4 linked regions of the Notamacropus eugenii genome follow. The protein of the gene in region 4 binds, or shares a complex with, the protein of the main gene of each other region. Links are inferred from orthologs where the notes say so. Each region holds a gene or a part of one and is shown on either strand. Other genes may lie near its edges.

Region 1 (7,333 bases), on a different chromosome or scaffold from region 4:
CATGTATGGATGGTGGGGTGCTGGTTGGTGGAGAACTTGTGTTTTCTTGGTGTTAACTGTTAGGCAGCAGAGAATCAATCTAGACTGTTCTATCTCAGCCTCAGAGGTTGCACTGAGTGCTCAATTATCTGTGAACAAAAAATCATGCACTAACCCTCCCTCCATTTTAGTCTTGGCTTGCAGCCTTTTCAAGTTAAATACTCCACCCCCAGGGCGGTAGCTGATCTTGGTGTCATGTTCAATCTCAACAAAGGTGTTGGACAGCATGGCTGAAAACATCTTGCTAAAAAGCATGAGAGCAAACATGCAGCTCGGCTTTACTCCCGTGGTACCTGGGAAAGTGAGAGAGCATTGCCCATTATCCAGAACCCAGGCAAGCATGCCATCATGAGTGTGACATGGAATGATGATGAACTCCTCCACTCTTCCACTCTAACGTACTTGACCATTGGTCATCCAGTATCTATCGCCTCTCAAGGAGGCATATTTCATGTCTGGAGAATTCTAATCAGTAGGAAGTTTGTCCTGAAAACAAGCCTCAACTTACTTTGCCTTTTTGCAACCTCATCTATTACTCTGGGCCTTGAGCTGAGGTAGCTCAGTGGATTGAGTGCTGAGCCAAGAGGCAAGGGGACCTGAGTTAAAATCTGTGCTCAGATACTCAATGACTGTGTGATCCTGAGCAAGTACCTTAATGTCTACCTGCCTCAGTTTCCTCAACTTCTCCAGACCAAAGAGAACACCTCTATTCTCTCTGCTACATAACAGCCCCTGTGCGTTCTCTCCCAGCCTAGCATTTATAAACTGTCTCCAGTCTACTTTTCCACACTTACTGACCCTTACTCTTTTTCATTCTACTTTCTAGTCAAACTGGCTCATTCCTCAGCATGGGAGGTGCTCTTTCATCTTCTCACGGTGTCTCTTGTGCTTGGAATGCATCCCTGCCTCCCCTCTGCCTGCCTGACTCCCCAACTTGTATGCAGGCACAGCCCAGGGGCCTTTCCCTCTTCAAAGTTTTTTTTTAAATTTTGGGTTTTTTTAGGTCAACAAAATTTTCCCCAGCATTTATCACCATCCCTCTGCCCATCTCATATGTTATTTCCTTTTTATATGTAAAGAGCATGTATCTACCATTGGGGCATCTGGCTCTTCCATCCTGGCACTAACACAGGAGACTCTGGATGTTATATCTGAGCCAGCCAGCAGGTGGAACCTGCGAGCCTGAGCTGAGAGTTAGAGTAATTGTGCATGGGTGGACTGACATCAGCAGTGGACATGAGCCTACGGGGAACTGAGCAAGCTCAAGCCCCAGCTGTCTCCGGCTCTGCTCAGCTGGATTCTTTTCAGCATTGGGCACATGGAGGGACAAGACAGCCTTGTCAGTGTCCATCTTCCACATCCCTTGAGGGGTGTCTGTCTAGCCGAAAACTATGAGAGTTTCTATGCCAATGCACATGCTACGAGATGGCTCTAGCCCCAGCATCCATGGGCAGCAGCAACTTCCAGGGATTATTCAACTCTTGTACAGGTGAAAGGACTTTGCATAATCTAAACCGAAAAGTGAAAGATACAGAATGAGAATTATGGGGCAGCTAGTGTGAAATTCCCCCACCCTTCTCTTGCGTCAGGGGAAGTGGTTTTAAGATGAAGGGAAGGGAGAAGCCAATCACCTTCATCCCATTTCAGACCCAGGTGATTCAGGGTCAAGTAATCTCCATCTGTTAGCCAGCTCAGGAAGCTCCCCAGGCTTCTTGAATTACTTACAAAGTCCCTTCTTCCTCTGACAGGTGCCATCTCTTCCTTCCTGCTGTGCTGGACTCTTGCTTAGGCCTCTTGTTCTCCAGGCCAAGCACCATGGCCTTCTTTGAAAAAGTCCCTATATGGTGTGACATTAGATAACCTCAGGAAACTGCCTTCCAATTAAATGCCCAGAGGCCATTCTAGCATTAAAAGACTGCAGGAAAACAATAAGTGTTGGCTGAAACAGGCTGCTTCAGACAGAGGTGACATAGCTATTGACCTATCTCCAATGTGTTTATCCATCCACACCTACATAACTATCTTTCTAACGATATCACCTCTCTCTATATCTATCTAATCTATTCATCCATCCATCCACATCGATCTATAGATAAGGGGCAGCTAGGTGGTGCAGTGGATAGAGCACCAGTACAGGAGTCAGGAGGACCTGAGTTCAAATCTCACCTCAGACACTGGACATTCACCTTGGGCAAGTCACTTAACCCCAAATGCCTCATCCTGGGTCATCTCCAGTCATCCTGATGAATATCTGGTCATTAGATTCAGATGGCTCTGGAGGAGAAGTGAGGCTTGTGACCTGTACAGCCCTCCCTCACTCAAAAAACAAAAGTCAAGTGCAAGTCATGTCATTATTTTTCTGATGGCATGGTCTTCTTTGGCACCGAAGGACGAACACACATCTATAGATATCACCCATCCATCCATCCATCTCCGATTTATTTATCCATCCACACCTACATATCTATTTATCTTTCTATTGATATTGCCTCTCTCTATTTATATCTATCTAATCTATCCATCTGTATGTAAGGTGAATTTTAGTGTGTGTAAAGTGAATTTTTGTAATTATTTCTCAGAGTCAGTTTCCCAGGATCCATAGCCATAACAATCTCTGGTTCCCAGGTACTAGATATGAGTCCCACAGTTATGGTTCGAAGTGTCTCCACCACGCTTGCGCATGGTTATATAATGGTGAATAACATAAACATCCACTGCGGCTGCACAGTGAGATACAGGGATGGGGCGATGGAAACTTGTGAGGCTGCTACTGGCAATCTGCCTTCTTTGTCTGCTGGCCTATAAAACAGGTGGTCACTAGATAGTGAATGGGTAACCCTTAGTGTTGAATGCACAAGCTGGAATGCTGTGTGTGCCTTGATCAGACCCCATCAAGGTTTGGAGGGAATCTGTGTTTGTCTCAACTGGCCCCCACTGAGGCTTGGGGATTTAGGGGACGCACAAGTTGTGCCTGTCCCGATTGACCCCATAGAGACATAGGAGTAGTTGCCCCCGCTTCTCACCAGCCCCTGTGAGAAGGGTGATTAGTGAATGCTGTAGGAGTTTGTGCTCTTACTATCAGCAACTTCTTCAGAAAGAACTAGACTAGAATAAAGTAAGATTATTAACCCCTTTTTAGTGTCTTTCCTGTCTGACCAAATCAAGAGTGAACCTGTGCTAGCAGCCCTCAAGTGTGCTGTGTTTTCATCTGTCTTACACCATCCATCCACATTTATCTATTTCACCCAAATACCTATATTCATCCATCCACATCTATAGATATCACCCATCCATCATCTAATTTAATTATCCATCCACACCTACATATCTATCTATATCACCTCTCCATTTATATCTATCTAATTTATCCATCTATCCATATCCATATCTATGATCTACCTTCATCCATCCATCCACATTTATCTATCTCATCCTCTATATACTTATATCTATCCATTCATATCTAATTTATCCATCCATCCATCCATCCATCCATCCATCCATCCATCCATCCATCCACCCATCCAACCATCCGTCCATCCATCCATCCATCCGTCCATCCATCCATCCACCCATCCTTCCATCCATCCCTCTACACCATCTGTCTGTGCACATGTGTAATCCCTCAGCAGAATGTAATGTCCTTGCCTCATTTTTGTCCTTCCTCACTGCCTGGAACACGGCAGACACTTAATAAATGTATGCCGATTGATCACTTCCCAGCTCCAGCCAAATATTGCTTCAGGGATTGCTTTCTTTTTGACCTTGTAGCCTCAAGCACTTTATAAGAGGCCTGAAATGGATGGGATTTCTGGGGGTGGCTGCACTGAGAAGAAGGCAGTTTTCAGCAGGACTGACAGGTGCTATGCGGGAAGAAAGTGGTTTTACCGAGAGTGGCAGGACAGGGTTTTCCTCTTGGTTGTACGGAATAAGAAGGTGGAAGGAAGGTGAGGGACACACTCAACATGGCCGCATGCTTAAGCCCACCTGCCACACTTAACATGGCACGCGGTCACTCTATTCCACCCCCACCCACTCCCGGCTAGAACGTTTTATGAACTAGAGCCTGTTAGACATAGTCTCTTCCCAGCTCCTGAACCGCAGACCAATCAGCGCCCAACAATGGGGTGGGCGCAAGGGATCTTGGAAGGAATCGCCTTCCGAAAGGACCAATCAGCAGTGTGCTGGGCGGGCACACACAAAGGGAAAGGGAGCTCTTTCATTATCGCCCCGCCCCATTCTATCTGAGGCCCAATCAGCGGCGTGCGAGGGGAAGGCGAGAGATACCTACTGGTCCCATTTCCTCTCCGACGACCAATCAGCGACGCGAAGGCGTGCACGAATGGTGCGCAGAGAAGACCGCGAGCTTCTGTTGCCAGAGCAACGGCCGGAGCAGGCCCCGGAAGCCGTTCACCCTGCTGACGGTCCCGAAATCTTCAGGTTTCTCGGGTAAATGAGGGGTAGGGGAGGCGAGGGTCGGGCGCCGAGAGACGCGAGTACGTGTTCCTGTACAGTTGTGCTTGCCAGAGAAACAGCGCCTGCGCAGAGGCTGGAGTCATGAGCGTTTTGCCTCGCTCCGGGGATACTGCGCATGTCTATTTGGAAGGAGGGGGCGGAGTTATAAGCCCTAAGGGGAGGAGCTATGGAGATGGGCGGAGTTACCGAGTCTGTAGCTAATAGCGCATATGCCTACATGTATACGTACGTATATATCGTTTTAAGTTTTGCAAAGCGCTTGCTTTACAGATATTATCTAATTGAACCTCAGAACAACCATGGAAAGTCTGTGCTATTATTATCCCCATTTTGAAGTTGAGGAAACTGAGGCAGAGGTTGTGACTTGTCCAGGGTCACTCAGCTACTAAGTGTCTGAGGCTGGATTTGAACCCAGATCTTCAAGACTTTGGGTGCACTGTTCTATCCACTCAATTGAAATCATGATGTGCTCATTTTACAGATGAGGAAACTGAGGCCCAGAGACATGTCCAAGGTCAGGCAGCAGTTTGGTCGCTGCTGAACTTCATTCTTTGTAGTCTTCTGACATCTCTCCTCTCCACTGGGCCATGGCTGAGGTCCATGTCATTGGGCAGATCATTGGGGCAACAGGTTTTTCTGAGAACAGCCTCTTCTGCAAGTGGGGTGTCCATACTGGTAAGTATGTGGGGATAGCATGGCCTCATCTGTTCACATCTCTGGGGAGTCCTCTATACCTTCCCCCCACCCCCGGGGAACTTGACCCTTGACCTTCCTTGTGCACTCAGCTGGAGAGAGTGTGGAACAGAAGGGGAAAGTCCTGAGGTCTTCCTCCTGATTCTTCAGGACCTGTACCCCAAATTGTATCTCCACAGCAGAGTCTTTGCCCACTTAATGGGTGGGTGGGAGATCCTTCAACTCCAAAGAGGCCTAGACCCCCCTCCTTTCCTTCTTTCCTTGGGGACTGTGAGAGTCTTTAGTGGGGGGTGGGAGTGTGGGGATATGAGGAAGGTTTTCGTCCTACATGGAACTTACTGCCCTTCTTTTTGGCTAGACTAGATTTGGAATTATAGAGGCAGAAAGGGACCTAGAGATTTCAGCCAGGAAGCTCTTTTTACAGTAGAAGAAGCCAAAGTCTAATTAGGTCACTGATGGGACCAGGACTTGAGCCCAGGGCTCTTTCCAGTGCCATAGCGGCCCCTCCCTCTAACCCAACAGAATCCCTTCTTCTAGTCCCTCCCTCCCTCCCCTCAGTGACCCTTTCCTTTCCTGACTGGCAGGAGGAGCATGGAAACTGCTGTCCGGTGTTCGGGAAGGCCAGACACAAGTGGACACCCCTCAGCTGGGTAGCATGGCCTACTGGTCTCACCCAATTGACCTGCATTTTGCCACCAAAGGCCTACAGGGTAAGGGCAGGGGTCCCAGGCTCTGAGTAAGTGAGCTGGGAAGGGACTGCTCCAATTGGACAGGGAGATGAGGCTCTGTCCAGTTCAGGGCACCTAGTAGTCCTTCAGGCTGGACCCTGGGGTTGGGGAATCCCACCTGGACCCCCAGAGACTGGGAAGGTTGAAGAGAAAGACAAAAGAGACTCAGAGATGGTCTGTGTTGTTTATTAGACCTGACAGATCTGTCATTTGTGGGTGCTCCTGGTCAGAATATGGGCATCAGTGGTTGGCGGGAGCAGCTTAAGATGGCAGAATGCCTTTGGGGGACTGGGAGTGGCTACAGGAGCCTGAACAAAATCAGGGAAGGAAGACAGAAACCCAAGCCTTGGGAAGAAGGGCAGACTTGGCCAGCAGAAGACTGAGGTAGACCCTCTCCTCTCCCCAGGCTGGCCTCGGCTCCACTTGCAAGTGTGGTCTCAGGACGTCTTTGGCCGCTGCCAGTTGTCCGGCTATGGCTTTTCCCACATTCCCAGCAGCCCCGGCATCCATAGCCTTGACTGTGTGACATGGCGCCCCTTGGGTGGCTGGCGGGAGCAGTTGGCTCGGGCCTTCGTGGGTGGTGGGCCCCAGCTGCTACACAGTGATGTAGTCTACAGCGGGGCCGACCGATACCGGCTCCACACAGCAGCAGGGGGCACCGTGCACCTGGAGCTGGCCCTGATCCTGAGAAACTTTTCCCGATATGGGGTTGAGTGCTGAGCACCTCGGCCAGCTCCCAAGCCCTTATCCCTCCATCCCCCAATTCTCCATCTCACTTCCTTCCCTCCCCTCCTCTTTTCTGTCTGTCCCCGGGCTCCTGGCCTCAGCAATCAATCAACCAACTCTTACTGAACTTTTATTATGTGCCAGGTACTGCCCTAAGAAAGCCTTGGGGTACCAAGAAGGAGCAACATGGCTCTGTCCTGGGGCATCCATGTCAATGGGGGCGATTTCATGTAAAGAAATATATGAATTGGTCTATACAAGATTCCGACAGAGTACAAACATCTCATTTCTATCCCTTCCTTACTGTCAGACCTGAGTCCAACCCCTTGTTTCACCAGAGGGGGAAACTGAGCCCAGGGATGCCCTGGTTGAGTGACTGAGCCCCAAAATGTCCGAGTTCAAGGGAGTCTTAGAGACCCTGGATGCCATCTAGTTCATTCCACTCTTTGGAAAATGGGGACACCTAGGTCCCTAAAGTGAAAAGCGCCTACTTCCAGGGACCTGGAGCCCGGGGTCCAGCCATTGCAGGGCCTTCTTAGACCCACTTCCTGGACTCCTTCTGGGCCGGGTGGATGATGTTCCCCTTGTGACCCTCCCCTTCTGCTCTTTCCCCTTTCCTCCCCTCCTTGGGTCATTCCCCCCAGAGGCCAGGCTGTCTTTTCAGCGCCCCC
Region 2 (8,003 bases), on a different chromosome or scaffold from region 4:
AGGTGTGAAATTATCCAGTATTCTGGAAAGTAATTGGGAATTGTGCCTAGAAAGCTATCAAATTGTGTATATCTTTTGACCCAATTATACAATTATTAGACCATCCCAAGGAAATCAAAGAAGAAGGATCTATATGTACTGTCCACCTGAAGGTTTGGTTAAAAGAGGCAAACAGGCTAGGTGACATGTAAATTCATATTGTTTATTCCCTTAAGGCTAGCAGAATACATGCATGGAGCCAGAACTTAAATTCTGACTAATAAAAAGAATGAGAAATATTAAATATATTTTGGAACAACCTCAACTCAGAATGTCTATGTCACTCAAATTTATAATTGCCATATATATTTAACCATAGTATGAGGAAGGGATTTTCTTAATTGAATAAATTGTAAATACAGTATAAGAGTTGACACAGTGTCAATTGAAATTACAACCCAGGATATTAGTGTTTTCTTTACCATTAACATGATATAATATGTAGTATGTGTCCATAAGAAAAGTCCCATTATTCAAGATAGTGTCTTGAATTAAGGGCCTCATCCTTAATGGCCATAAACAGAAGAATACTCTTAGCTTCATTTGGCCCTTGTAGTTGTTGACACAAGATGGGGAATTCTGGGTTTACTCAGAGATTGAAGAAGGGAAATGTTAGGCCAAGGTGCTTCTTCTGGTTGATTAGTTCAGCCTCTGGCCTTGTTGAGGTTCAAATGATTTGAAATGATTATCAGTACAAACATTTATCAGTACAAATATCAGTACAAATGTGAGAAATAATCATCTCACCAAGAATTCCATTTGACCATTAGTGAATTTAGAAAAAAAACATTTTTATTTCACCTCATTTTGGATGGGTGACCTGCCTATAACCCTTTGTGGAAAAGGGTACCTTAGTAGACACAGGCACACTTCAAGACAATTACAAAGTCATAACCCATTCTGATTAGTATTTCCCTTTTCATCTCATTGGTCAGGCATTTCAAGGTTCACAGTCTATCTGAAAACACCTAAACCCCAACCCCACATGGTTTCCTGCTTACAGCTCTCATTTCCACATTTCAATCCCTTCCCTTTCATCTTCATTTTCTTTATACTTTATTTAATAAATGCTTCTAGTTTCCTTCTTTTGAGGTGTAAGCTCAGTTCTCATGTGAACGCCCTTGGGCAGGTAAAAGTGAGGGCTTCTTGATTTCGAGCTCTCATGAGGCCCCCCAGGGAACAGCTGAGAATTGAGGTATGAGACTCGAGCTTTCTTGTTTTTCCACCTCTTCTCAGTGGAAACTTGCTGGGGAAAGCATCTCACCCTTGAGATTGGTCTGTGGTCTGAGCACACCCTTTTGTTAATTAGCTAAGGGGATGAGAGCATGCATGGTATCCATGAGCGAACTATGCAGCGGGGAGAGTTTAAATGGGGACAGGAAAGCCTGGGGGTGGGGTTCCTTTCTCCTCGGGAAGAACTCGCCCTGCATGCTGACATGTAACTAAGATCCTGAATAAAGCTTACAACTTCTGTTTGACCCTGGAAGTCTCTTCTCTCGATACGTTTATCTGGCTGGCCACCGAAGACCTGGAGATAGGTAAGATGACCCGGGCAGCCCACGGCAATTAGGCTGGACATCCTCCTAGTTTGTCTGCATCAGATGTTATGATCACCATAGCATGAGAAAAGAATTTTCTCAATTGCTAAGAGAATTGACAAAAGCTGTGAGTTGAACATTGGCCCAGGATATCGATGAGAAAGAGTCACATTATCTAAGACAGTTATCTGGGTTAATGGACCCCATCCTTGGAGAACCACAACTGGCCAGTTTTTGATACACTGGACAAAGGCCTTCTCAGAACAAAAGAAGAAGAGTCTGCTTTTAGATATGTTGATTAACAGGTGGCCAACATCCCCCACTGCCCTTCCACTACAATCAGTTTTGCCATCAGTATAACCTCTTAGGTTTCATGTAATTTCTATGGAAACAAAATTCAATCATCCCTTACAGTTCTATTATGGAAGACAAAAATTGGAAGGAGAAGGTCCTCCTATTGATGAGTGACTACACAAATTGGGGTATATGAATGTATGGAATACTATTGTGCCATAAAAATAGTGAAATGAATGATTTCAGAGTAAACTGGGAAGACCTCTCTAAACTGATAATTAGTGAAGTGAGCAGAACTGTTGAGGTCTAGGGCTTCTGGAACCCTGAAATTCAAGGGCAAACAACTCTAGAGTCCTGCCTCAAATGAATTAGACTCAAGCCTTCTTTCAGCTAGAAATAAGGCTTATTAGAACATGGTCTGGGTGGGCAAGATTTTAAGAATCTGCCCTATTGTGACACTTGTATTATCAAGAGGGCCACACTGAATATGAACATTGACAAAACGTAAAGAATATGAGACTTTTGTATTGATAATGCAAGTGGGGCAGATGGGTATAGGCTCTAGAAGCCCCCTTGAACTTTCCTTGAGTCTTCCAACTTGCTCTAGTGTTTGCCTGAGGTCATAAACCTTCCATTATTACTATGCCCAAATCTGTTACCCTTAAACTAGCCCAGCCTTCCATAGTCTCCTACCTCCAAGTAGTCTTCAGCTACTTCCCACACTTAATCCTATTCTCCTAGTTCCTGGTGTTTGACCTCTAATTACCCCAGCCTACTGACCAGGCCATTCCCATAAAGACCCTCTGTAAACCCCTCCTCTAGTCACCCTAGACTACTTGGCCACCTCTAAATCCCCCCCACAGCCTTTTTGTATATAAGATCCATCTTGACTCCATCAAGGTGCATTCTGGCCCTCATCACAAGGGCTCAGATTCTATCTGACCCACAGCCGCACAAATGCTCAGATTCAACACAAGCATCACAAATGCTCAGATTCCTTAAGAATCTACCCAATATGGTGGATCTTTAATAAACTTTGTTTTTCTTTGGCTGAAAGAAGGTTTGGGTTGAATTCACTCAGGCAGGACCCAGCGTGTTGCTATTTCAGGGTCTCAGAACCCCTAAGCCTCAACAGGGACAGATTCTTAAGGAATATGAGCAATTTAATGGGGGGCAAGATGCACCTTATACACAGAAAGACTGTGGGAAGGATCTAAGAGAGACCAAGTAGTCTGGGGTGACTGGGAGGTAATGATGTGGTACAGACTCTGGGAACCTCCTTGAATCTTCCCACTTTATCTGGCCTTTCATACTCATATCTGTTCCCCTTAATCTAGCCGACCCTCAGTGTTACCCAAGGTAACATAGTTTGTTACCTCTGGATGGCCCCACCTGCTTCCTACCCTGGCCCTCCATTGTCTGATAGCTCCCAATTGCCTCCAGCTGTTTCCCATCCTGGATTATATCACTAGTTATCCTAGTCCCATCAAGATCCTCCTTAGACCCTCCTCCCAGACTACTAGACCACCTCTAGATCTTTCCCATGGTCTTTCTATATGTAAATTCCATCTCACCTCCATGGAAGTGCTCGGATTCAATCCAGCTCAGACTCCGTCTAGTTGAGATTGTATCTGGTCCGCTTGTTAATATAGTGTTCCAGATGCTTAGGCTCTTTAAAAGTCAACCCAATATGGCGAATTAAAGATTAAAGAATTAATAAACTTTGTTTTACTTTGGCTTAAAAAAGGCTTGACTTGAATTCATCTGAGCAGGACCTATCATGTTGGTATTTTGGGGTACGCAGCACCCCGAACCTCAGCAGTAACAGAGAAAGACCTGGAAGGGCTGAGTGCCCCAGGCACATACCAGGGATGTGGGCCACCTGAAAAAGCCCCAGGGCTTTTCCTTTAGAGGGTCCAGATCCCAAAGACATGATCTTCTCCTTTTATGTATTCAGATTCCATCCCCATCAGAACCAGAGAATAATTTATGTATTGTTAATACCAGTAAGGGAAAACAACATTGAAAAACTTTAGAACTCTGATTACTACAAAGATAAACCACCAATCCCAAAGAATGAAGATAAAATAAGACACTCACCTCCTGACAGAGGGATGATGAACTTAAAATGGCATTAAAAAGCCATACATTTAAATGTGTGAAATTTGTTTCGCCAGACTATGTACATATATATTGAACAATTTGTTTTTTGGTCCGATTGTACGATTTTTTAAGTTGCCCAAGGTGGGTGAGTACTGGGAAGGTCAGATGAATGAAACAACAACAAAGGTGTCCTGGTTTTTTTTGTTTTTGTTTTTTTAAAAAGGAAAAGGCAATCTTAAAAAGATCGTAAGCTCCTCTAGATCTGGTACTGTTTTCATTTTTTGTATTCGCACAGCTAGCGTTCAGCACTTTTAGCAAAGTACTTAGCGCCCATTCATTCATTCATTCATTCATTCATTCATTCATTCATAACGTCATCACCTATTAGAAGGCAAATTCCTTAAAGCAGGGGACGTCTCGTCTTTTGCTTCCCGAATTTCCAGCTCTGAACTCTGCCAGATACTTGGGGAAAGCGTAATATTCCTTCCTTCGGCACTCTTTAAACAAACCCCAGAACGAGACCCCCTGCTAGGATTCTGGGGTAGGTGTAGGTCAGGCGGTTCCTAGCCCTTCGGGAACTGAGTAGGAAGAGGGCAGTAACCACGGCATGTAAATGAATTAGGGTGACAAGGGTGTAAAGAGAGAGGGAACGTGGGGAGAAGGACTGGAAACGGGCTCGGCAGCTCCAGGGGAAGATGCTATGGAGGGGGGAGCCCTATGGCTATTTACAGGATAAATTCTAAAAGGACAAGTTTGGGGGGGAGGTCAGGCACCCTTGTTTCCAGGGAAGAATCTGCCAAGGGTGGGGAATCTGCGGCCTAGATAATAAAAGGATTTGTCAGTCCAAAGGCCGCACCCAGGGACCTGGAGGGCCTCGAGGTCGCAGGATCTCCAATCCCGCAAGCGAAGGCACGAATTCTGCGCTAAGGCCGGCGGTTTGCTGCAAGCTACGGGAGGGTCCCTTTAAATTCAATCCCTCTCAGTGCATTGCTACTTCTCACGAGATTTCCTGAGTAGTTTAGCCAACCGTCATGGTTAAAAAAAAAATAATGCCCTGGTTGTCCGTGGCAACTGAGAGGCGGCGGCGAGGTGCGGAAGGAATCGTGGATCTACGGCCGCCGACCCATGTTCTCGGAAAGCATGGGGCGGATCACTGGGCTGGTGCCCTCTCGTTTTCTGACGTTGCTAGCTCATCTGGTAATCGTCGTCACCATCTTCTGGACGCGGGTAACCTAACTGCCATCCCAGCCTTTTCCCTTCGCTTTCCCGGGGCCCCCTGTCTCCGGCCCAGGGTTTGAGCGGGTGACGCAAGTCGCCCGTGCCGGTGATCATCGCCTGAGCTCCCGCTTTCCCGGCCTGCGCCTGCGCTTGGGACTCCTCTTCCTTTACATCCCCTAGCTTCTCCTGCGCCTGCGCCTGCAACTCGTAATCCTTTCTTTACAGAAAGGTTCCCGCCCCCCCCAACTTTTACCCCCTTAATGAGTTACTCTTTCTGCCCTCCCCAAGCGCAGGCCGGAGCATCCCGAGCCGGTCCTACGTAGGGGTCAGGAAATCTAGCTTTAGGGTTTAGTCTTTACGCTGTGTGACTTTAGGGACTGCGGGTCCATGGACCTCTGTGTCCTCCCCAGCATGTTTTATGAACCGGTGGTTTCTTAAGGCCCACTCTGTAGCTTCCACGCTCCGTGGGAAGAAGGGGAAGGGACAAACACTGGCTGCCCTGCAGCTACCGTTTCTGTTCCATCCTGGCTTAAAAACCCTGTTTTACTCCTGCTCTTCTTTCCTAGGACATCAACGTCCAGGCCAGTCTGCCTCCCGATTTCACCTCGGAGGAGTATGAGGAGGAGGACCTTAAGTGAGCCACCCAGGGGATGGGCGGGCCAGTGGGGGAGGCTTTCCCCTCCTCCACTTTGGGGTGGGGTGGAGGAGTCAAGCCATCCTGGAGAGGGAGAAGGCCCCTGGTTGCGAAGGGTAGACTCCAGGACCGCTTTATCCCTACATAGGATGGTCACTGCTCTCTCCATTACCCTGGGCCTCTTCCTGATAGAACTAGCAGGTTTCTTTTCAGGCGTGTCCATGTTCAACTCCACCCAGAGCCTCTTCTGTATCCTTTCCACCTACTCTTTCCCCCCAGTGGCCAGTGGCGTGGCTCCCCAAATGGAAGAGTGCTAGGCCTCGGGGGTTGGGGGGGCGAAGTGTGGATCTCTGAAGTTTAACTTGAGCTTGGCGCAAGATGGAGCCCCTCTTAACATGGTGGTGACATAAGCAGGGGTCGGGGAGACGAGGAAGGAAAGAGAATTGAACTCCGCTTCCTAACCTGGCTTAATTTGCTGGCAGAGTAAGCGCAGGTTCCCTTCCCTCCTCGGCCGAGGACGGGTCCTGCCTGGGTACCACCCCCCCTTCTCCCAAGCCTGCTGGGAAATGTAGTTCCATTGTTTTTCCCTGACTCTCCTGAAGCCATCGCGCTGCACTGCTGCGCAGCGGTGTCTTTGGCCTTCTTCGTCTTCGAGGGTTGGGAGTGCTACGTCTATTGGTACATCTTCGCCTTCTGCAGGTGCGGCACGAGGGGCCACCTATCCAAGGTTTCCGAGAGGCTGCCCCCGAGGAGGCAACGCTTTCCTGCTTTCTGGGTTTAAGGGCTGGTCCTGACTAGGGTGTCAGTGCTGGGACTGGGCCGTCTTTGTTACGAGAAAGTCTTTGATCACGCCTCCCTCCTCTTGCAGTGTTCTCCCAGCTTCCACTGAAGTAATATTGGTCATCGCTGTCTTCGTGTTAAAGAAAAAATCTTTCTGAACCACTTCCCACAAACGTGGGGCAGAAGACCGAGAAGGCTTTGAAGTCAGCCCTCAGTCCTTGGAAAAATAACTGGGAAGACTGCCAGCGACAGGGTTTGGGGGACTGTTGGCAGTGTTCTTATCCCCCTGAGTTTTCGCACATTGACATTGTATATAATATTTTATAATAAAACCCCACTTTTGTACCATAACTAAAGCTGGTGACACCAGTTGCAGGGGACATTCGATGTTGGCCATACACAGGGGAAGGGAAGACACAGCAGAGAGGAGTGTGCCGCAAGGGGAGCCTGGTGTTTTCCCATCCATTCCAGGACCTTAAAGTTACTGGTGCCCCTTTTTCGATGATTACGGTCCAAATCCCAGGAAGGGGCGGGGCTGATTTATGCGAGTGACAATGTACGTCATTCCTGGGACAATATGCAAATGAGGACCAGGAGGCTTTGGAACCCTGAGTGAAGAAGCTAAGACTAGCTTCTTTAGATTGTTTGGGGTGCAGATGGATGGAATAGGCCTTCGTTATTTATGGGCTTGGGGAAAGACAGTGCCCAGTATCCATCCATTAGGTAAATCAGAGTTAGAATGTCCTGCATTTAGCTCCCAGAAAATATTCTTTATTGTTTGTAAGGCATGCCCTGAACGGATGTAATTTCTTCCCATCTGTGAAATGGGCAATACTTACTACCATCCGAGTGACGTGTCATGGTGCACAAACCGGGGACCCTTGAACACTTACTAGCTGTGTGATCTTGGAAAAGTCACTTAACATTTTTCATTCTCAATCTCATCTTTGTGTAAAATGGAGTTATTGTGAGGAAATGGGAAAATAGTACCCTGTCTCCACTAGGGAGTTCATTTTTATAGTATACCCCAACTCTTCTCTTTTTCCAACAGGATTAGGTGAGACATGCCAATCTAGAAGGTAAGAATAAGTGACACTCTCCTAGGAAAGATTAATGGTGACAAGAAAAAATGGAAGGGAGCTTAGCACCTTGAGCCAATGAGATATGATCACAAGAAGCCTCAGAGTCTGAATTTTGTTCCAGTTTTGTTCGTTACTATAGTAGTGGTTTCCACGTTTACAGAAGGAAGGCATTGGCTTAGATGAGCTCTCAGATACTTCCAGTTCTAAATTTCTGAATCTTAGGTTTGAAGTGAAAGTAAATATGATGAAAGATCAAGCATGGCATTATTCTATCCCTGAATATTACAAATACCTTTGGAAATAAAGGCAAAAAGA
Region 3 (6,496 bases), on a different chromosome or scaffold from region 4:
GGATTTCTTATAATGAAGTCTTCCACATGCTCTAGTTTATGGATGACACCATAATGGTCACATGAAGGCCCATAACATGGCAGGGCCTCCTAGAAGAGATCCATAGTGACAAAAAAAGTTTGATGTAACCATCCACACAGGAAAAAGCAAGTGGATAAAGACTGCCTATTGTGATAGGCCGTCATGTGGACAATCTACAGAGTCCATCCATTATTATATACATATACGTGTGAATATATATGTGTATGTATATATGTACCTGTGTGTGTGTGCATATGTGTATGATGGTGCAGACTGATTTGGGCTCAGAACTGAATAGAAGGACCTCCAGAAAATAGCAGAGTTTTGTTAAGGACTTCCGTCATCTCCCAGAAACAAACACCCATCTTCTAATTCTTTCTTTTTAGAAATGTACTCTATTTAATGATATTTTTTTGTTTTTACATCATCCTTATTTCCAAAGAAATCACCTCTCATTAAACAGAGATTTAAAAAGGAGGAAAAGAGCAGTTCAACCAAGCTTGCTCATGCAACATCAGGCCTGTTGGACAGACGGTGCCCACCATACATGGAATTGTGAGGGGAGCCCACCATCTTGTAGGGTGGAGAATCCTCCTGGGATGTCTCAACCGCGAGTCCCTCAAGAAGGCAAAAAAGACGTGGGGTGGGAGTGCGCTGGCTGGCGCAGCTAGCAGCTACAGGGCAGGCTTCCTCAGGGGCCTCCTGGCCAGGTGAGCCTGAGTAAGACTCGGGGGAGCTCCCTAATATGATGAGTTGCAGAGAGGGTCAGTCTGCATTGGCAGAGGCTTTTTCCTTTGTCTCAGAGGCTTGAGAGAAATGAAATGACTGGCCCAGGATGACCCTGCTAGCTACAGATCTGAGACAGAGTTTGAGCCTGGCTTCCTTAATTCCAGGCCCAGCTCTACATACCCTGGTCTGGGCTGGCTCATCAGAGAGGTAGTCTGAGGGGAAGGTGTGGATTGCCAAAACTCCAGCCCTCAGGAGAGGAGCAGAGCTCACAAGTAGGAAGCCAGCTCATGCTGGTGACGTGGCACTAAGCTGGCACAGCTCCTGGCCTTGTACTGTCTGCCCGGCAGGGGAGATAAGAGGATTTTCTGAGATCTTCGTGCTGAAGCCAAAATAGGTTCTGCTTTTATTTTGTAAAGCTCCTGAGCCGAGCTGTTTAATTCCGAGTACACCTGAGCCCTTGGCTACCAGGAGCATAGACCAAGATGAGAGGAGTAAACAGGCTGACCCTGTCCACACAGGAGTCCCAGGCCTGGACCTCATACATAGTGAATGCCTCTTCCTGGTAAGGGAAGCAATGAAGGGCTTGACAAAGCATTTATGTGTGGAAGGGCCATGCCCCATCATCCTTTCCCAGGAAAAAGAGAACTTGGTTAGTCTGTTAAGAAAATGTCCCCATCTGTAATCCCAGGGGAGCACAGGAGTTCCAATGGCTGGGTCCTGCTGCTTGGTTGTCTACGCTAACATCAGCGTGGTGAGCCCCGGGATTGGGAGCTATCAGCATGGCCAGGCTGCAATGGTCCAAGCTCCTGTACCAGTCAGTGGGAGGACTGGGCCTAAGAACATAATGGGTTGGTGCATGGGAAAGAGCTGGGCCATGTGGTGGTGCATCCTGTGTGGGGTCAGAAGTACAGACAGAGCAAGGGCCACATCTGAATGCTGGCTTTACCTTGGCTGCTTCTCTCCTTTAGAACCTGCGCTGGAAAAACTCCAAGCATTTTATTTGGACAGATGGTCTTCAAACCCTGTTTGTGTTTCAGAGACTGGGTAAGGACCACATCACCTTCCCCCAGCAGGTCCTTCATTCTAGAGTCAGCCAGTGGCATAAGTCCCATCACCCCTGCAGTGGTCCTTCCCCTTCCCACCCCTCACCTGGTGGTGCTGGGGAGTCTGATCCCACTATCTCCCATGTCATGTCCCCAGAGGAGCAGCTTGAAGGGGAGTACCCTTCAGGGCCCTTTTCCCATTCTTATCCCCAGCTGCTGTTCTCTATTGCTACTTCTACAAGAGGACAGCCATCCGCCTGGGTGATCCACGGTTCTACCAGGATTCTCTGTGGCTGCGCAAGGAATTCACCAGAGTGCGAAGCTGACCCCTCTGCACCAGCCAGACTGCGGGAACCCTGCCTGCTGCATCATTGGGGGCCCATGACCAGGGCAAGGCGGGCACATGTTCCCTATTACTCACCTGCATGCTAACTAAAGGTCTCCTGCGCAGCCTGCTGCCCACGACACAGCACGGCCCCTCTGTACCACTTCCCCTAGAGCCTGAGGGCCCATTGGCTCCCTTCCTGCAACCAGGAAGTTCCACCTAGGAGCCCTTATTAAGAGCCCCCTTTGGCTGCTCCCTCTCCCCCCACCGCAGGCCTGGGCATGCAGAGAATAACACTGGCACACTTAAGAGACTTGGGCTTGGAGGTTTTTATGCTCTACAGCCCTTTTGTACTTTTTTAAAATAGGTAATAAATGTATCCCTTTTGCCATAAATTTCCAAGGCCAGGCTGTTTCTGTTGGTGGTGATGCCTGGTTTCCTTCCCTTGGTGGCCTGCATATCCCCTTTCCCTATAGGTAGACCCGGCCTTTGAGAGGCCATTTCCTTTCTTAGCTCTTCCGTTTTCCTGAGATGAACATGAGCAGTTTGGATTCAATGAATTTTCAGCCTTCTCCAGCTGCCTTATTTGTTCCTAGACTAGATCCAGAGTCTGACAAATTGTTTCTGTGGTCAGCCCTAGGGCCATGTGGGAGTCTGGCATGGGCCTAAAACACAGGGAGGGGGCCTGGATTCAAGGCCTGGTCCTAGCGCTCATTACTTGTGTGACTGTGGGCAGCTTCTCAGAGCCTCAGTTTCTTCACCTGTAAAATGGTGGAAATGCTTTTCTGTAGGTCCTTACCTTGCATTGGTTTATCTTTTGTATACATTTACATATAAATGTTGTCTTATGGAAGAGATACAAAGAAAGTGAACAAGTCAGTCCCTGCCCTTCAGGGTTCAAGCCCTAACTCTACCTGCCAATCACCCAGGACACAGCCTCTACAGAGCAGAGTCCTTGGGAGGCAGTTCCAGAGAGAAGGCACTGGGAGGGGGAGGCCAGGACGGACTTATGCACTGAACCTGGGGTTTGAGACTTGAAGAAGTCAGGGAAGCTAGAAGAGGGAGGCAGGGATGGCATTCCAGGTATGGGGCACAGCTAGGGAAAAGGCATGGAAGAGGAAGAGAGCGCCTCTTGGGCAAGGAGCTGCAGGAAGTGTGTAGATTGTAAAGGCTGTGAAGGGCTTTAGATGCCAAGCACAGAATTTTCCATTTGGTCCCAGAGGTAGTAGGGGGCCACGGGCCGACGAGGATTTGGGGGAAGATGACTCCGGAGCTGGGAGAGGCAGGCTAGGAGGGTGTGCAGGATGTGCAGGAGAAGTGTGCACGGAGGTGCAGGGACGCACTCGCGGGAGAGGGAGAGGTTCAACAATTAGGGGGCTTTTTCTGGGGGCACGAGTGTGGGTTCCAGAGGGAGGGAGAAGTGGGGGTATGCGAGGGGGGTCTGAGAGGAGGGAGTGTCTGAGCCCTGCGCAGGAGGGCATCTTGGGGCTCGCTGCTGTCTGCCTCAGTAGCAGCCCCGTCCCCCAGGATGGTTGTGCGGGAGCACTGAAGAAAGCTGACGCCCGGAGGGGGCCCGCCCCGAGCCGCCCTCGGCCTCTCACGTGGGCGCCCCGGCAGGGCTCGCCTCCGCTTGCCCCGCCCTTCGCCAGGCGGAGGCCCCGCCCTTCGCCAGGCGGAGGCCCCGCCCCCAGAGGCCGCGCCCCCGCCAGGGCCCAGCGCCGCAGGCCTCGCGCATGCTCGGCGGCCGCCCCCACCGAGCTGGAGCGGCCGCCAGCTAGAGCGGCCCTTCCGGGCGGGCGCCGCCTCGCCCCGCCCCTCACTTCCGGCAGGCGCCGAGCTGGTCTCCGGGAGCCCAGGCGCCGCGCCAGCAGTTTCCATGGGGACTGAGTGGCGATGGCACCGCGAGGTGAGCTGCCCGAGGTGTGTGAGTCTCCGCGTTCGGGGACCCCCGCCCAGGCCTCGGTTTCCCCACGGGTCCACAGCGAGGAGTGCGCTGGCCGCGGCCGTGAACGCGGGCGAGCCGGGGCGGGCGGGGGCCGGCCGGGGCGGGAGGCGGGGGGGACGCGGCCCAGCCGCTCACCAACCTCGGGCCTCCCCCTCCAGACCGCCGGCTGTCGTCCATCTCCCTGGAGATCTTGCTCTTTCTCAATGGCTGGTACAGCGCCACCTACTTCCTGCTGGAGCTCTTCGTGTTCATGTACAAAGGTGAGGCGTGCGCCCCCCTCCCTGGCGCGAAGCCCCGCCCCTGACCCCCCAGAGCCCTGGGTGAACGTCGCCCCGCCCCTCGTCTGGCCCCGCCCCCAAGCAGCCCCGCCCGTCCGGCCCCGCCCCTCCCAAAGTGTTGCCTGGAGAGCCTGAAGGACCGGCGCCGACCCCCGGTTGTGCTGTGCCTGTCCAGCCGCACAGCAGGGGTGAGGTGTCAGACCGGCACCCCTCCCCCGCCGCCTGCTGCAGCCTCGTTCTGGCCCCCGCAGGTCTTCTGTTACCGTACCCAACAGCCAACCTAGTTCTGGACCTGATCATGCTCTTTCTTTACCTTGGCGTTGAAATCATCCGCCTCTTTTTTGGTAAGTGGCTGATCCCCGCACCTTAGCAGGGGACCGAAAGGGTCCTGGCCCCCTTCTGTGGCCCAGGGGAAGGTTACAGGGTTGGACAGTCCCTTTCCTTCCTCTGGACAGAGGAGGCCGGGGGGGCACGTGGTTCTCCCGGGGCCTTCCCCCTTGCGGTGGGCACTGGGTGTCAGGGGCATATGTCCTTGCTGTGATGGTCCCGAGTGCTCCTTTGGAGGAGGAGGGAGGAACCCAAAGTCCTAACTCTTCTAGGCCAAGTTTCCCATCACCACAGACCTGCATGACTTCTAAACCTGGACTTCCACCCATTTTGCAGCCTCCGTGGCTTTCCCTGCTCCAGCCTTGTAAGCTCAGGGCAGGCCACTGGAAGTGATCCCCAGGGCCTGTTTTGTGCCTGTCTTGACAGCTACAAAAGGGAACCTCTGTCAAAGGATGATGCCCCTTGGGATCAGCTTGGCCATGACCATTCCGTCAGCCATGATGGCTTCCTATTACCTCTTGCTGCAGACCTACATTCTGCGCCTTGAAGTTGTCATGAGCACCATTCTGCTCATTTTCTGTGGCTTAGAGCTGGTGCTTGAGTTGATCACGCTCACCACCTTCAACAGGTACTACTTCCTCAGCCTGGGCTCAGGCCTCCCCTCTAGGAGGGCCCTGTGTAGGGGAGACGGGGTGAGGCTGGATATGGGGCTGGGAGATCTTGGAGGCTGAGGTGCCAGCGGTGGATAGGTGAGGTTAGCTACTGCTCTTTGGTCTTTAACCTACTGTGGTCTCTTCTTGCCCATAGCATGGATTCGTATTGAAGTGGCCTAATTGAGCCCTGGTGACTCAACCCCCTGGTGCCACAGAGACACATGCTCTTGAGGAGGCCAGCCCTTTGACTTGGTCCCGGCAGTATCTTCTAGACCAGCCTACAGAATATGTTCTCCATCTCCTTCAGGATAGCAGAGAGCACACAGCCCTGTCCTGGGCCCTTGCACATGGTCCTTACTTGGCACTCCCTCTTGTCACAACCAGAGCACTGAGTTTGGATTGTCTAGGTCTCCGGGGCCCCCAGCTTGAGCTAGGCCCGTTGTGCGTGTGTCCCTGGAAGCACTGTGGACCTGCATTTCACAAGGGTGTTTTTCTTCCACTAACCCCAAACCCGGACCTCATCCCATTCGTTCATTGTAGGGGATGAGCTTCAGAAGGGACTAGGCAACAACACTCAATAGCTTGGGGTATCATTTTCTTACACTATGTCTTCGAACAAACACTATTTATTTACAATAAATATTTATTTTCTGTTGTGGGGGCTGCTTATGGCACTGTTCTTTGCACAAAGCCCAAGGACAGTACTAGGTCCCTGCTTCCCAGACCTCCCAAAAGCCTGCTAGTCTTTCCATCAAGCAGCAGCATCACAGCATCAGGCCTCCGTGAGGCTTTCTGACTGTCTTCCTTACAGTGCCTGCTGTGGCCTGGTTTGGGAACTCAGTCACCAGGAACCAAGGGCCTTCATAAAACCTCTGCTCTCTAGGCTGATGCTGTGGTGAGGTGGCAGGATCTTTTGGTAGACAGACTGGAAGCGTTAGCCTCTATTTAAAGATGAGAAAACAAAGGAAGAGGCTTGGGGGGAACAATGCCCAAATCTTCTGTTGACCATCACTTATACCTTATTGATCTGTCCCCCATTTGTTCTGCTGCACGCAGTCACATCTGTCTCGTGTTCCTCTTCAGAGATTAACTGCCAGCCCCCTCTTCCTTTCTTTACAGAATCTTGAAGCCTTCGGAGGCCATGAGACTTTTGGCAAGTCTTGTCCCTTCTGTAC
Region 4 (7,761 bases):
GCGCTGCCCGTTAGAAGATTCGGCACAGACTGCTCTCTCTACTCTCTTGTCTCTAGGCTTAAGAGAACCTTTCCAGGGCCTTGAGTAAAGTTCCTTCAGGTAAAGAAAGCGTTTACAAACAGGGTCCTCCAGCCCGGGACACTCAGATTGGCACAGCAAATGCCCAGAATTCTGCCTACCTGTGTACAACTGGGTGGGGGTTTGTGAATTTTCCATGCCCTCCTCTGTGTTTGCTTCTGAAAAGAGAGGGGCACAATTCCAAGTCCTTTTGATCATTGACAGTGTGGGCTTAGCACAAATCTGGCCCCTGATTGGGAAGCAGGAAATACAGGCGGCTACCCCGACTCTCAGCACTGATTTCAAGGCCTATTTCTGTGCTCCCTGACTAGCTATTCAGCTTAGTTTGCAACTAAAGCTTGATGGAAATATTTGAGTATATTATGTAGCCTCAGGCCTTTTTATCTTCGCTTGAGGGGGAGGGATGTTTGATGAGATAACACACTTGTAACATCGTTTTTCTTGGCAATGATTAGGGGCCTTGTAACCATCCTCCAAAAGGTTACTCTTGTTATTTTGAAAAGACACAAAGATAATATGTTAGATGCAGTTTTACATGACTTTCTTCTGTAGGAAAGGTGTTATGAAGATGTGTGTGTATAGTATATATATAATTATGTGTGTATTATATGTCATATTATGCAGATTTATGTGTGTTACATATAATACATATGTATTTTTACATAGGTATACATCAGACAACATCGTGGGGCAAATCACTGCATATACAACTCTTTGTACATATGTATAACAAACACATATCTATTTTATCTATATATAGATGTGTACATCACATATATTTACATATAAAGTGACTGTTTACAGGGAAATCTGTAGGGACTGGACCAGCCATTTTATTGACATAGGGAACTTCTGAGTGAGGAAACTCCCTCTACCAATGTAATTGTAAAGTCTTTAAAAAGTCCTAAAGCCTTGGGTCATATGGCCAGTATGTGCCAAAATTAGGACTTCTTGGGTCTTCTTGGCTTCAAGGTCAGTTCTTTATCCACTCTACTACATGAGTGGATTATATACTACATATGAGTATATGACTTCTATGTTCTAGCAAAATTATTATATTTTATTAAATGTATTTGTGTTAGACTAATATTTTCCTCAAATATCTCTTCTTGAAATGGAGGTGGCATTGGGTTGTCAAAGGCTGGCCCAAAAGAGCACAAGGCATCATATATCTAATCCAAACTATGAAGTATTTAATTAAGCACCTACTATGTGCCAGACTGCTAGAACTAGGGATGCAACAACAAAATGAGAAGTAATATCCTTAAAGAGAATACATCCTATTGGGAGGGAAGGGACAAGAGAGTCCAGGCCTGTGATTTCACTGGTACAAGAAATTCTTCCTGAGGAATCCTCTCTACTAATGCAGATCAGCACCTACTCTACAATTTATAGTCTTAGAAAACTGACCAGGGCCCTGAGAAGTTAAGTGATTGTACAGGGTTACACAGCCAAGGTGTATCAGAGGCAAAACTTGATAGATCTTCCTAACTAAGGGATACAGCATGTAAGCAATATAATAAGGATAATTTGAAGAGGAAGAGAGAAGGCATAATCAAGAAGATCAGGAAAGATGCCCCATAAAAGTGGCACATGAACTGAGCCCATAAAGGAGCTTTGGATTCCAAGAGGCAGAGGTGAGCAGAGAGGGCATCCAAACCATGAGCTCACAGACAGAAGATGGAACTTAGTGTGCAAAGAACAGTGAAACAAGTAGGTTGATCTGGTTATGCGTTAGGGCACACAGGTGGAAGCACTATGTAAGCCACATGGAAAAATAGGCTAGAGTCCGATTGTGAAGGCTTTAAATGGCAACTGTACACCTGTGTTTATACCTTGTTTGAGAGACAAGAGGGAGCCATTGAAGGTTCTTAAGCAAGAGAATGACAAGATCAGACTTGAGTTTTAGGAAGTTTTGCATATGCCCCAGGGTTAGAATGCATGTTTCATGTCTGAGCACCAGGCTAATTAAGTTGGAAGACTCTCATCACTATGTTGGCTGAAGGATGATAAATTATGGGGCATAGTAATTCCTGAAGATCATCTCCTAAATTGTGGATGAAATAAATACTCACCCTGATGAAATTATAGATCTTTGGGGTACTGAAAATGTTTATGTTATCTAAATATTATTTTGAAGGGTCCAGTCATGTGATTTCATTAACATATGGAACTCCCATTGTGACAACTCCCAAGAAAGAAGTATGCATCTTCTCTGTAACTTATAGTCTTATATAAGAGTTATTTGGGAAACTGAGAGGTTGTGATTTGCCCAAGGACATACTTTGTGTCAGCAGCTGGATTTGAATCTGAGACTCTCTGTTCTAGACCAGTTCTTTATCCACTATGCCTCTCCTAATTATTACATATGATGTTAATAGAAAATTATATATTCCAGATATGAACTAGGTGCTAAGCTTTTTCTTTAGAGTTATTGCCAATCCTTGCTATTAAGTGATATGAAGTGGAAGAAATATTTTTTCTACTGGTTCATCAATACAGTGGGTATTTACTATCTCCTATGTGCCTATGGCACCCTTGAAACCGTTTGGGTGGAGGAAACTCATCAGGGATCAGGGAGAAAAGGATAGCTCTGGAAGGAGTGGAGAGAAAAATGAGCTGACATTTTCCCAGGGTATACCATGAAATCTGGATTTTCAATGAGATATGAATGATGATTCTATGAAAAAAGAATTTACTACCAGATTTAATTTCCTCTCTGAAATATTAAATGTGAAATTATGCAGGTATAAAAAAGAATTGTGAGACAATTTTCAGTATTAAAGTAGGTTTCATTTCCCCATCTTGCCCTAAAAAATTTTTTTATGGTTTTACTTTCCCCCTTGTTCTCTCCCCCACACCAAATTGGAGGTGGGAGTGGGGAGAAAAACAAGATCCTTGTAATAAATATACATAGTACAGCAAAACAAATTTCCACATTAGCTGTATTCAAAAATGCATCTTATTCTTCATCTTTAGTACATCATCTCTGTTAGGAAGTGAGTACCTTGCTTCATCATGAGTCTTCTGGAATCATGGTTGGTCATTGCATTTATCAGAGTTCTCAAGTATTCCTTCGAACATTGGTTCCTTCGAGATTTTCCTGATATTTTTCCAGTCTGAGGAATACTTATAGATTCTATCAACACTTATCAGGAAAATAATGTTCTGTGTCCAGATTACTTAGGGAATCCCAGCCCTATATCCATCTAGATATATGGGAAAATGGAAAGTATAGTGAATATAAAAGAAAAGGGAGGACATGGGACAAGAAGGGGGAAAGGAAAGACTAGCTTGGTAATAAGGATCTTTCAGGATTGGAATCTCAGCAGGTAGAGGAAACACATCATGACAAAAGACAGGAGTGCCCTAGGAACATATGTATAATCAAAAATTGATTATTTTAGAATAAAATTTCCTCTGAAGAAAAGGAAGAATTATGTACAGATTTCCACAGATGAGATGAATTAAAGGAATGATGGACAATCCATGGTGTGGGTGTGAATGATGCCTAAGTGGGTGTGGGTGTGAATGATGCCTAAGTGGGTGTGGGTGTGGTTGTGAGTGACACCTAAAGCATCTGGGGAAGGTTCTCTATTATACTTTATAATATTCTAGTTTCCCCCTACCACTTTTCTTTCATCTCACTCCTTTCCTCTTCCATATTTCTCTCTTTTTTTCTTTTACTAACTTTTATTGATGCCTCTTGGCATTGATATCTCCTTTCTCCCATTGAATTCTCCCCTGTTACATGGGGGTGGGAGAGGGGGGGAAGTTAGTAAAACCAACCAACACAGCAACCACATCTGGCAGGGTAAGCAACATTCTGAATCTTTAGTCATCTACCAAGAAGACAGAAGTATGTTAGATTAGTTATGTTAGTTCCTTGAAGGCAATCTTGGTCATTACAATCAGCAAAACTGCCTTCCACCTTTGTTTTCAATTACATCATTATAGTCACTACGTATACTGGTCTCCCAGTAATTAGAATATTTAGATTCCTTCAAGGATCAGTGCAGGTGTTACCTCCCACAAGAAGTCTTTTCTGATCCCCTTAGTTTTTTAGCATTCTCTCCTTCCTAAATTATTTTGGATTTACTTGTTTGTTTATCTGTTGTGTCCCTCTTTCCACACTGCAGTAGAATGTAAGGCCCTTGAGGGTAAAGAGGGGTCTTTGTCTCCCTAGCACCTTACATAGTGTCTTGCGCATAGTAGATGCTTAATAAATATTTGTTTATTGGAATTGAACGAAAGCATACTGTGTTTAGTAATCAACTAATTGTCTGTTTGGTTGAAACATAAGAACAGCGAAGTGAAAGGAGGTTATGGTGAGATTTGGGGGAGTGAGCCTAGTACCACCATCCTGGAGCAAAAAGGGGTCAACAAAAGTTTTTGAACAGAATTCCATGACCAGATATCTGTGCATAAGAAAGGATAGATTGTAAGGGAGAGAGAAAGAAAATGTTAGGAAAACATTTGGGGATGATACTGTAATGATCAGGTAGATGAATCTGTATTAGAATAATAGGAGAGAAGGAAGAGGAGTTAGACATCAAGGGAGATTGTAGAATTAATTTTCAATTTAAATGAGGTAAATTTAATAAACCCTAACCTGTAGCTTAGCTGGGGTTCTACTGGAACAGATGATGATCTAGCCCTTTGATTTTATAGTATTCTTGCTAAAGTTTCACACACATTCATTCTAAGCCATACTCAGTTCCAGCTTCCAAACAACAACACACAAACAACACATGATGCCTGATTTCTTTGTTTTCACTTTGCTGCTCAGGGATCCAGAAATGAGTCACAAAGAAGAAAAAGTGAAAATAATCTCAGAGGTAAGTAGATGTTTATATCATTGTTAGGGTTCTGTATGAGTGAAGAAATCATATTAATAATGAATATCTATTTCTGCTGAATCTACCTACTACAGAGTATACTATACTCAGGGTTATTCACTTTTGGGGGAAATGGCCTACTTTTAAGTTAGTTTAGATAATCAATAAAGCAGGAAATCAAGCCCTGATTTAGTGATCACTGATTTCTAAATTATACTCTCACTGAAAACTTTACAAACTTCACGACTGTTAGAGCTGGCGTCAGCACACCCAGGTGGTGTGGTGAGCATTTGAGAAACAAGGAAAGAATTCTCAATTCTAAAACATTTTAAGATTTCACAAGGATCCAGACTATTAAAGCACATTATTGTCATTTTCAATAAAAAACATTCCCTGTTCCCAAGGAGTTTAAAATCAGCCTGGACTTTAAAAACTTTTGTTTCTCTTCATTTCTTAAATACTGGAAGCCAGAAATTGTACTTGCTGCATGACCTTGGACAAGTCAGTTCCCTTCTCTAGACCTATTCCCTTATATGTAAAATATGGGGGTTTAAGTCTAAGACCCATTCAAATTGTCATGTTCTTGGTTCTGGAGAGGAGATTCTCCTTCACCTCCTCTTCTTCTTCCCCCTCTTCTTATTTTCCTTCATCTCCTCCTCTTTCTTCCTCTCCTTCTTGTCCCTTTCAAGACAACTGCAAAATGTTCTTTCCTGCTCTCTATGGGCCAAATGTGTTCCCTAGCAAGTTTGTTGCTTTCCCATTATGACTCCTTTTCTGTCAACAGAATCAAAGCCATTTTCCTATTTACTCCCAGAAAGTTTTCCTGCCTCACTCTGAAGTGGCTTCTAGGACCTGCCTTATAGAATTGTAGTAAGGATCAAATGAGGTGAAAGGATCTAGTGCTTTATAACTAGAAAGTGGGTTCTTCTTATTAATTCTCCAAAACTACACATTTTCCCTACCAGCTAGGTTGGTTGCCCCAGAATCTGTCCTGAATGAAAGGACCAGAGCAATTTTTGTGGAATCTGGATAAACACTTGTAGAGCCAAAGGCAGGTGGTGAGGAGATTGGCCAAACATCTACTAGAATAAAATTTCTGTGAAGCCACCAGTGATAGGAGGCACCATGGTAGAGTGGAAAGATCACTAGCACTGTAGTTAAATGGCTTGAATCAAACCTTATTCTAAGCTTAACATACGTACATACATATGTATATACACACAAAAATGTATGCCTGTGTATGTACATACATGTATCTACATATGTACATATTTGTATACACGCATGTATATTCAATAATCATTCAATAAACATTAAGTGCCTTCTAAATGTCAGGTACTGTGCTAAATGCTAGGGATACAAAAAAGAGGCAAAATTCAATTACTATCCTCAAGGATCTCACAATACAGGATCTTGGGAGAGTTCTAACATCCCTGGGACTCAGTTTCCTCACCTGTAAAAGGAAAAGGTTGGAGTAGATGAAGTCTGAGCTCTAGATCTCTGATCCTATGATCTGATATAGAGTGATAAATGAATCTATATATTTACATGTACATATAGTAGATAGCTATATGGATATCTATGGCAGATATGGAGGGAGGGAGGGAGACAGACACAGGGACAGAGAGAGACAGAGATAGAGAGAACAAGGATACAGTATGGCTTTATACAGCCCTCTGAATAATTTAAAAAATCAAGCAGAATTACAAAATGTTAGCAACCAAAGGGACCTTAAAGGTCATGTAGTCAAACTCTGCTATTTTACAGATGAGGAAACTGAGACTCAAAGGAATTAAGTGATTCTCCTAAGATTACACAGCCAGTAAGTGACAGAGGCAGAATCTGATCACAGTTCTCTGACTTCAGAGTCTTTCATATTATGTCATCTGGTGCCAAGAATGATGGTGACATTGATGATGGTGGGGTGTTGGTGATGGGGGTGACAGTTGTGTTCAGTAAAGGATCTAGTCTCCTATTTCCTAATGAAGGCTAACAGAATGAAGTAGAGGGCCTGAGCCTTTTCATCTTCACTGTGATTTTGTTTTTAATATTTAAAAATACAGCTCCAGATCTTTAATTGTTGAATTGTTTTAAATTTCAGCAAATAAACCTATCACACTTCAATTTTTTCTTTTCTTTTTTTTCTTTTCTTTTTTTTTTTTTTGACAAAGGAGTTTGTTGAAAATGAAGGTGCGGAGGCAGAAAAACTGAAGAAAAAGTTGAAAGTTCAAAAACACAGAAGAAAAAAACAGGTAGGATTGTCACCATTCTGATATTTGTCTTTTGAATTGATGTTTAACTTTAGCAATGTTGTAGCATCAGAAGGGTACCGGCACAGCACATGGAGTCTTCTCTCACTTTCCATTGCTTTTCTAACTGAACCATCTACTTTTCTGGTCGTAAGTCTCTTTCACTTCTTTCATGCAGGTGATCTTCGCTAGGAATAGCCTGTTCAGACCCGCACCATAACTTTCTATTGCCCTTTGAATGATCTGCAATTTTGATTCTATGACAACTATACTGAATGATTTATAGTTGTACAGCATTACCAGAATATGTGAATACATGAGAGATCTGTGGTTTTGTCTGCTTGAAGAATCACCCTCCACAAATCCAGATACCTAGCTATCTACCATACCCCTAACCCTATATGCTACTGGACCCCTAAGCAATCTGACTGAAGATAAGTCTCAGGGAATTGTCTGAGACATACAGAGGCCTCATGACTTTTCCCACATCACACAGTTAGTGTCAAAGGCTAGGTCTGAACTGAGGACTTGCTAACTACAAGTCCAGTACTCTATCCACTATGGCACATTGCCCCTATCCTCTGGAGAAATATTGG

What was found.
Region 1: CC2D2A (region 4) and B9D2 share a complex: the UniProt entries of both Homo sapiens proteins name them as parts of the tectonic-like complex. The link is inferred for Notamacropus eugenii from reciprocal best matches to the Homo sapiens genes CC2D2A and B9D2.
Region 2: CC2D2A (region 4) and TMEM107 share a complex: the UniProt entries of both Homo sapiens proteins name them as parts of the tectonic-like complex. The link is inferred for Notamacropus eugenii from reciprocal best matches to the Homo sapiens genes CC2D2A and TMEM107.
Region 3: CC2D2A (region 4) and TMEM216 share a complex: the UniProt entries of both Homo sapiens proteins name them as parts of the tectonic-like complex. The link is inferred for Notamacropus eugenii from reciprocal best matches to the Homo sapiens genes CC2D2A and TMEM216.

What each region holds. Positions count from the first base shown.
Region 1 is NC_092876.1:29,863,958-29,871,290, forward strand, and holds B9D2 (B9 domain-containing protein 2), read left to right. Parts: upstream 1-4,313; 5' UTR 4,314-4,488; intron 4,489-4,996; 5' UTR 4,997-5,102; coding exon 5,103-5,190; intron 5,191-5,792; coding exon 5,793-5,918; intron 5,919-6,342; coding exon 6,343-6,656; 3' UTR 6,657-6,924; downstream 6,925-7,333. UniProt on the Homo sapiens protein: Component of the tectonic-like complex, a complex localized at the transition zone of primary cilia and acting as a barrier that prevents diffusion of transmembrane proteins between the cilia and plasma membranes.
Region 2 is NC_092873.1:77,717,860-77,725,862, forward strand, and holds the start of TMEM107 (transmembrane protein 107), read left to right. Parts: upstream 1-4,983; 5' UTR 4,984-5,099; coding exon 5,100-5,201; intron 5,202-5,758; coding exon 5,759-5,826; intron 5,827-5,974; coding exon 5,975-6,075; intron 6,076-6,428; coding exon 6,429-6,525; intron 6,526-6,694; coding exon 6,695-6,764; 3' UTR 6,765-8,003. UniProt on the Homo sapiens protein: Plays a role in cilia formation and embryonic patterning. Requires for normal Sonic hedgehog (Shh) signaling in the neural tube and acts in combination with GLI2 and GLI3 to pattern ventral and intermediate neuronal cell types.
Region 3 is NC_092873.1:12,956,747-12,963,242, forward strand, and holds TMEM216 (transmembrane protein 216), read left to right. Parts: upstream 1-3,854; 5' UTR 3,855-4,011; coding exon 4,012-4,024; intron 4,025-4,221; coding exon 4,222-4,323; intron 4,324-4,592; coding exon 4,593-4,685; intron 4,686-5,094; coding exon 5,095-5,296; intron 5,297-5,475; coding exon 5,476-5,491; 3' UTR 5,492-5,976; downstream 5,977-6,496. Other genes in the region: TMEM138 (transmembrane protein 138), read left to right, coding at 1,719-1,794, 2,007-2,119. UniProt on the Homo sapiens protein: Part of the tectonic-like complex which is required for tissue-specific ciliogenesis and may regulate ciliary membrane composition.
Region 4 is NC_092877.1:67,984,457-67,992,217, forward strand, and holds the start of CC2D2A (coiled-coil and C2 domain-containing protein 2A), read left to right. Parts: upstream 1-4,746; 5' UTR 4,747-4,829; coding exon 4,830-4,916; intron 4,917-7,087; coding exon 7,088-7,168; intron 7,169-7,761. UniProt on the Homo sapiens protein: Component of the tectonic-like complex, a complex localized at the transition zone of primary cilia and acting as a barrier that prevents diffusion of transmembrane proteins between the cilia and plasma membranes.